Caenorhabditis elegans: one gene and its partner. The protein of the gene in region 1 interacts with the protein of each later gene in a pairwise test. Each region holds a gene or a part of one and is shown on either strand. Other genes may lie near its edges.

The links. Proteins that work in one complex are often made in the same cells at the same time.
Region 2: the proteins of twk-37 (region 1) and mek-1 interact in a two-hybrid assay, tested with the Caenorhabditis elegans proteins (one large-scale study listed by BioGRID).

The regions. Positions count from the first base shown.
Region 1 is NC_003279.8:6,268,897-6,273,157, reverse strand, and holds twk-37 (Potassium channel domain-containing protein), read left to right. Parts: upstream 1-1,624; 5' UTR 1,625-1,647; coding exon 1,648-1,676; intron 1,677-1,722; coding exon 1,723-1,782; intron 1,783-2,102; coding exon 2,103-2,287; intron 2,288-2,335; coding exon 2,336-2,430; intron 2,431-2,485; coding exon 2,486-2,572; intron 2,573-2,650; coding exon 2,651-2,780; intron 2,781-2,895; coding exon 2,896-3,061; intron 3,062-3,143; coding exon 3,144-3,402; intron 3,403-3,459; coding exon 3,460-3,597; 3' UTR 3,598-3,738; downstream 3,739-4,261. Other genes in the region: C10G11.8 (AAA+ ATPase domain-containing protein), read left to right, coding at 1-879, 921-1,145; oac-9 (Nose resistant-to-fluoxetine protein N-terminal domain-containing protein), read left to right, coding at 4,125-4,261.
Region 2 is NC_003284.9:7,477,622-7,481,531, forward strand, and holds mek-1 (Dual specificity mitogen-activated protein kinase kinase mek-1), read left to right. Parts: upstream 1-1,626; 5' UTR 1,627-1,634; coding exon 1,635-1,818; intron 1,819-1,867; coding exon 1,868-2,100; intron 2,101-2,150; coding exon 2,151-2,294; intron 2,295-2,349; coding exon 2,350-2,661; exon of another isoform or gene 2,662-2,787; coding exon 2,788-2,958; 3' UTR 2,959-3,384; downstream 3,385-3,910. Other genes in the region: F48E3.9 (Trichohyalin), read left to right, coding at 3,850-3,868. UniProt on the Caenorhabditis elegans protein: Dual specificity protein kinase which may phosphorylate kgb-1 and thereby is an essential component of the JNK pathway composed of mlk-1, mek-1 and kgb-1. May also have a synergistic role with sek-1 in phosphorylating pmk-1.

The DNA.
Region 1 (4,261 bases):
AGCCGTCATGGTCGCCCTCTTGCTGTCCAAAAACGTCGTGAACAGCAATTAGTTCAAAGTCTCCGAGGAACTCCAACCACATTGGCTCGTGTCCACGAGCTTTTCGATGATGAGAAGCATGCCGTTGTGGTCGTTGAAGGTTCGAGACGTGAATGGTACGTACCAATTCTCTCGATCGTCGACAAGGACTTGCTTCGTCTGAATGCCCTCGTCATGGTGAAGGCTGGTGGAATGTTCAAAACAGTTCCAAGTGCAATCGTTGGAGTTTTGGATGACAAGATTGACAGCAATGCGATGGGACATAAAGTTGAGAAGACACCAAAAGAGACATTCGATGACATTGGAGGATGTGAGAGTCAAATTCAAGAGCTGAAAGAGTCTGTGGAACTTCCTCTTACTCATCCAGAGTACTATGAAGAAATGGGAATCACTGCTCCGAAAGGAGTTATTCTTTACGGTGAACCTGGAACTGGAAAGACGCTTTTGGCGAAAGCAGTTGCAAACTCAACATCTGCAACATTCATCCGTGCAACTGGATCCGATCTTGTTCAGAAACAAAGTGGGGAAGGTGCTCGTCTTGTTCGTCAAATCTTCCAAATGGCAAAGGAACAGGCTCCATCGATTGTATTCATTGATGAAATTGATGCAGTTGGTACGAAAAGATTTGATACTTCTTCACGTGGAGAACAAGAAGTTCAACGAACTCTTCTTGAGCTCTTAAATCAATTGGACGGGTTTGAAAGCCGTGGAGATGTCAAAATTATCATGGCAACGAACAGAATCGACTCGCTGGATCCCGCTCTTATCCGTCCTGGACGAATTGATAGAAAGATTGAGTTACCAAAACCAGATGAGAAGACTAGACAAAAGATTTTCACGGTTAGTCAATTCAACATTTCTTAAATAATTTTTATTTTTAGATCCACACCTCTGGAATGACGATTCAGAAAGCTGTCACCTATGAGAATGTATTGGGAAAGGAGAAGAGCATTAGTGGAGCTGAAATCAAGGCGGTTTGCACGGAAGCTGGTATGCTGGCTCTTCGTGCTCAACGAAAATGTGTCGGAACGGATGACTTTGAGAAGGCTGTCAAATCGGTTATGCTGTCGAAGAAGGGCGGAGCACCAGAAGGATTCTTCTCTTGACAATCGGAAATTCAATAAAGTACAAACGAGTTTACCCTAATGAACCTTTCTTCTCTTACAATGCCAGTGCAGATGTTTTTATGAACATCTGTAGTTAATTTCTTTGGTCTTTCTATGACCATAGACTGTTTGTTTTCGTAGTTTCTTTCCCTTCCAGAGCCTCAATTTGAAGAATTATGTTAACTTGATCCGAGGCGTTTTGAATACCGATCTCGAGTATAAATATTTTATTGTTTCAATGTGTTACTGTTTAACACAAGATGAGATTTGTCGTATACACTCAAATAGATACAAAAATAAATATCCAAATTTGTTTAAAAAATTTCAAACTCATTGAGCTCGCCAAGTTTCTTGAAAAAATTGTTTACGTACAGTTTTAAAAATTATAAAATTATTAAATACCACCATAACCAAGAAACGTGATATTTTCTGAGATGGCCAAAACTATTAAAAATCGATTTTTTAAAAGTCAGTTCTAATTTTTGGAGTCAATATCGTCCCAATGGTAGCATCAAATAGAAGACAATCGAGGTTTGCAGAATCATTGTTTTCATCTAAAAAAAACTACATTTTTCAGTTCAGATTCAATACCTTCAAATCAAAAATCACACAGCTCTAACCATCACACTTCTAATAGGTGAGTATAACTACAATCCACAGAAGAAAATTAGTTTGTAACCCACATGCTCGACATTTCGCTCCGTGCGATTGAAAGCTGGGAAATCGCGAAAATCTGCGACGATCTACGATAGCATGCGAAGAAATGCGCGGAAAATTCGAAACTAGGGGTAACCCGCAAAGATGTGCGACAATGTGCGAGAAAAAGCTGAAGCAAAATGTCGAGTTTCTGTATTATCTACACCAGGAAAATATAAAGACGACAGAATAGCTGTCAAATCTTCTCAAACAATACCCACTGCTTCACCACTGTCAATCCAAACTGCAATAGTCTTTCAGCGATGGAATGCAAACTCACACGGATCGACTTATTAATAAATTTATAAAGAGGCAAATGGAAAAATCTTCACCAGAAACTCAACATCTTGTCAGAAAGCAATCTATTTTAAAATTTGTTGAACGAAAGTCTAGAGCGGAAAGACCGAAGCCAACGAAATTACGAACAATTTTGAGAAAGATTCGAAGTGAGGATTTGGTTTATATTCTGCTTAAAGTAATGTTTCAAATTTCAGAATTTAATACAATAATTGCATTTGTGGTTCTTGTTGCATATATAATTGGTGGAGCTCTCTTGTTTTGGCAGATTGAATCGAGATCTGATATGAATGTTTGTAAAGCTTTTGTTTCTGTTGCAGATATATATTCATTGATAATATTTTCAGATTAATGAGTTCAAAAGAAATATTCGTCAGAAATCAATACACATCTACAATTCAATGAAAGGTAGCAAGTGTGGAAAATTGAAAAAGGTTTGTGAAAGTATTTCTGCATCTCTTTCAATTGAGCATACCCGGAAAACGCCTCGATACAATTTTCATCTATTTCAGGCAGATAATGAGTTGAACAACAATTGTATAAAAGAAATTTTTGACCTACTCTACGCTTCAAACCCTCCAAAGCATATAGAAGAGTTTCTGGATGGGCTGGCTTATGTAATCACTTGTATTACGACAATAGGTATGACTCGGGATTAACAAGTAAAATAGTATCAAAACTGATTTCGAACATTTTGAAAAATATTTTTAAAATTTTCTCCCGAGGTGTCGTCTAATCATTCTATTTTCTATTTCAGGGTACGGCGAACTTGTCTGTCACACAATTGCCGGTAAATTGGTTACTGTAGCTTATGGTATTATAGGAATTGCTCTAACACTCTACGTACTTCGCAACAATGGAAAAATAACGTTGAAAATATGCAATTTGACACTCAAAATTTTTGCAATTTGCGTTCGAAAATGGTAATTTAACATTTAAACATAAATAACCTCTTCTCAACTTTCCATATAAAATCTTTATTTGAGTTCATTATTTAGTTTTCAGTGGCAAAAAGTCGGCAAAGTATAAGATGACAGTACTGAAAGCTTTTATTCTTCTTGTCACATTTTGGGGCTTCGGAGCACTTGCAATTGCTGTCTATGAGGAGTTTGTATTCTATGATGCCTTGTACTTTTCTTTCAGTACATTTTCAACTATTGGATTTGGAGATTTTGTTCCGTCAGGTCATATCTCTGGAACTATTATTTGTGTATTACACTTTATCGATTTATCACTGATTTCAATGGTTTTAGTTCTCGTTCATGTAAGCTGTGAAGATTCCCTTGTAAGAAACCAAGTGTCTAAAGTTTACAAATTTCAGCATTCGATGGAAAACAGATTTATGAGAGTTTTGGAGCTCTTCGATGAACGGCATGCTACCGACACTTTAGAAACAAATATGATATCACCTGGTGCTTCTCAACGGAAACTTGCTGCAACGACTACAGCGAAGGAATGATTTCGATCCAGTGATCATAATTGATATCAGATTATTCTCAAAATTTAAAATATCTCTTTGCTTATTACAATTTTTATTGATATTCTTTTTGTGGTTTAATTCTTATTCTTTTTCGTCATTAAGAGAATGAAGAAATTACAAAAAGCTTCTTTTTTTGCACAATGAAAGGAAAAAAAAACTGCCCATTTAGAGATTTAATCCGGTAAAGGCTTGACAGAGGCGCCTCACACCCGCCTTTTTATTTGACCTCCCAGCGCCGTACCTATAACCTCATGTGCAATTTCTCGTTACGGAGTTAATTTTAGTAGCGCATTCGTGAATAACCTATTTGGTAATTGAATTTTTAATCTCTCAAACAACGGTGTTTGTGGCTAGTTAAAAAAAATTTATTGTTCTTTTCTTTCTGAAAATTATTTTCCAGGAATACGTGCAGCTCACGCAAATACCGTCATTTGTGAAAACGCAATCATTAATTATCAAACAATTTATTTTCGATTATCATTTGTGAAAGTTTTCCCATGAAAACAATGAATCTCGTCTATTTGATACTTGTCTCGTTTCTACCCTCATCAGCCTTCGTCAGCTGCTCATTTACCAAGTCTGGAAAACAAATTCTTCAACAAATTTTTGAAGGCGATAAAGACAATCACACCAAGTTCAACAA
Region 2 (3,910 bases), on another chromosome or scaffold:
AGCGCAATTGCTCTGACCAGTTTTTTTTTGTTCTATTCTCTATATCTAGAAACATTAAGCATTAATTCAACATATCATGAACCATCAAGATTTGACATAATTTTGATAATTTTCCATCAACTCAGTCGCCGACAAACAAGTTAGAGGCTCCCAACTCTGCACCTTGTGAGATGAGTCATGCAACAACTGGTCCATATCTGATTTAGTGTAACGACCACAATGCCACGATGACTAGGCTTGATTCTGCATTTGTTATTTATGGAATTCAAGACATTTTGAGATTTTTGCATTTGGTGTTCTAGCATTTATCTGACTAATTAAAATCAGAAAATGTTTTCACCTCGTTGTTTTTCAGAATTTGACTTTCCACATTTTCCAGCACCGCTTTTAAATATAAAAAAAAATAGTTTTTATTTATTTGATTGGGTCTCCTCATTTATTAGAAAAAATGTCGAAATTCTTGTTTGCGTCTTCTCAAATACATACAATAGTATTCTCAATGTTATCTCCTAATTTCGAAATCGATGGTTTCTCAATTACGAAATATTAGGAATTTTCCCACTTTCCGCGACACTATTATTTGCCTTTTTTAACCGCAATTCGATTACATTATTAGTGGTAAACAATCTTTTCTCTGAATTTCCAACGTTTTTTTTGTTTTACAAAAGAAACTATATAATAGTTGCTGTCCTCACATGATGATCAATGTTTTTTATCATTATCAATCAGAAAAGTCCCAGCTTTTCTTGACTTTTCCTTCAGAAATTATCATATCACAATTTGTTTGTTTTCTTTTTCTCTCTAACACTCTTACTCTATTCACTCAACAGTTCAATGCCGGAAATTCAAAATAACCAAATCGTTTTGACATAAACTTCAGTTCAAAGTTGACCTATCGCAAAAACAGGTCGAAAACAAAAAAAAATGGGGAACGGACCGCCAATGTTTTGAAACGGAAGGGGGGTGCGCACGCGGTCGCGTCGCGTGCCCGGTGTTTCAACGTAACTCTTGCACTTATTTACGCAGTGTGTCTCACTTGTGTGTGTGTGTGCCGTTCGTTTTTTCTCTCCCTTCCCTCCTCCCTCGCCGCATTGGAATTGCGACGGCGTCAATGCGGTCTTGCCGCTTTTCGAGACATTTTTGCTGCTGTGATGCCATGTTTTCACCATGATGTAATGCAATTTAATCCTCATGGCAAGAATGAAAAGTAGTTCAAAACGTTGCCTTTCTCGTTTTGGCAGCAGCTCTTTCTCATTTGATCCCCTCGTCGTATAAGCTAATACGCTTTTTGTTTTCAGCTGCTATATTCAGCCAACACAAAAGGCAAGAGCCTTTCCATTGACGTAAACGAGGCTTGTTTGCAACAACATCATGCATTCTAATTTCGTACATGAACTTTTCGAAAGTGCATTGAGATGAGAGTAATGATGAGAGCAAAGACATTTTCTTATAACTTCCCCTATTATTTATATGTATAGCCACTCTCATTCTTAGAAATGCTAGTGCACTTCTTTTCGTGCCCCAACAATTTATATTTTCATCCTAGAAATATAAATTCAAAATTTTGATTCTTCCTGATATTTCTTTATCTCTTTTTTTCTCTGTACTAAAAATAATAATTTTAAGGTGAAAAGATGGAGAGAGACTTCGACCTTGGCATGGGCAGACCTGGCGGGCTCGGAGGACTTGGTGGTGAACCGATCATGCAACAAATGCCACAGCCAGCGCCTCATCATCCATCCCGTAGTAGTAACGACCACAATGTGAAGAACCTCATGAAGCAGGCCGAGGAGAACTCCGGATATCTCACATTGCAAGGTAATTTGGCTAAATAAATAATCTTGAAACGGTAACAATTGATTTTTAGGTAACCGTCGTAAAGCTGACTTGAAGGAGCTTCAGTTCGTGGAAGATATTGGTCATGGAAGCTGCGGTACGGTCACAAAGTGCAGATACAAGAGTGTGATCATGGCTGTGAAGACGATGCCTCGGACGTCAAACAGTTATGAAATGTCCCGCATTTTGATGGATCTTGACGTCATCTGTCTCTCTTTCGACTGTCCGTACATTGTACGTTGCTTCGGATACTTCATCACCAACGTAAGAATTTTTATGAATTCTTTGACTTTTCCAATTATCATTTTTTTCAGTTCGACGTCCGTGTCTGCATGGAGTGCATGGCTACTTGCCTTGACCGTCTGCTTATCCGCATCAAGCAGCCAATTCCAGAGAGAATTATTGGAAAGTTGAGTGTGAGCATCATTAAAGCTCTGCACTACTTGAAAACCAAGCACGTAAGTTTATAAATCAGATGAACCATTTGGACAATATATAATCCGATTTTTTTAGCAAATCATGCACCGTGATGTGAAGCCATCAAACATTCTCCTCGACTGGAGTGGCGTCATCAAGCTTTGCGATTTCGGTATTGCTGGCAGACTGATCGAGTCTCGTGCTCATTCGAAGCAAGCCGGATGCCCTCTGTACATGGGTCCTGAGCGCCTCGACCCCAACAACTTTGACTCGTATGACATTCGCAGTGACGTGTGGTCTTTTGGTGTTACTTTGGTCGAGCTGGCAACCGGACAGTACCCATACGCCGGAACCGAATTCGACATGATGTCCAAGATTCTCAATGACGAGCCACCGCGCCTGGATCCGGTATGTGCTCTTCGTAAAAAATTCATCTAGAAAAAGCTTTTAAGAGCTACCAGTAGACATAATATATGCTTTATGGCGGCTAGAAACAGTACACAACTAGTATTTATGTATTTTACAATTTTACAGGCCAAATTCTCTCCGGACTTCTGTCAACTCGTCGAGAGCTGCCTGCAGCGTGATCCAACGATGCGTCCCAATTACGATATGCTCCTCCAGCATCCGTTTGTCGTGCATCACGAGAAAATTGAAACCGACGTCGAGGAGTGGTTTGCCGATGTGATGGGCGAGTGCGGATAATTGTCGAATTACAAACGTATTGTTATTTCCCAAATCATTTGTAAAAACTATCAATCCCATTCACTATCTCTTTCATAACATTTCCTGGTCTAGCATTCATGGTGCAAAGTTTTTCAATTTTGCTTTTTTACCTTATTTACCCTATTTACCACTTTTACCCTATTTTCACTTGTTCTCGTTCCCGTTGTCTCTATCAAAAATTCCCAACCTCTCTCACCGAATCCCTGTCTACCAAACTTGAATGTTCCGGATGTATAGTATCATTGTAGGCCTAATTGATTGTATATTTTGATTATGATATGTCTCAAAGTTAAGCCATCCACAGCTAGTCTTCTCGTCAGAGATTACTGTGGACATTAAAATTGTGATTCAAATTGTTCAACGGATATTGTTGTAATCTTATATATTTAAATACAGTCTATGGACCGTTCGTTTTTTTACAAGTTTTGAACGAAGCGTTACAGAAAGAAGTAATCAAATTCCAGATCTGTAGAAACTAGCGAGTTAACAGGTAATCGGAACTATGGTGTCTTGAACAATATTTGAAAGTATTCGAAATAGTGTACATATTTTGTGAAACTAAATACTATCAAACGATATCCTACTCAACTCTGAAATGTTCATACAGTGTATTAACACCTGCGCGACAACGCTTCACCTCTCTCATTTAAATGAATCCAAATGATTAGTCGCTGGAGATTATTAGGATATGCTACTAACGGAGCTTTTAAATAATGGCGGGTTCTCCCTACCCGCGTCACCATAGAAACCGAGCGGACTCGTGCCGGCTGGTGTTCTCCCTTCGTCCGCCTTCCGCGACTCAACTCATTTCCGTGTCTCCTCTAATATTTTCCAACGACCACATCTATATCTATTGCTTATCTCCAATAAATGTCGTTGGCAATTAAAGGTAGGTATTTTTATAGGTATTGTTTATTTGGTAGTTTAAGCA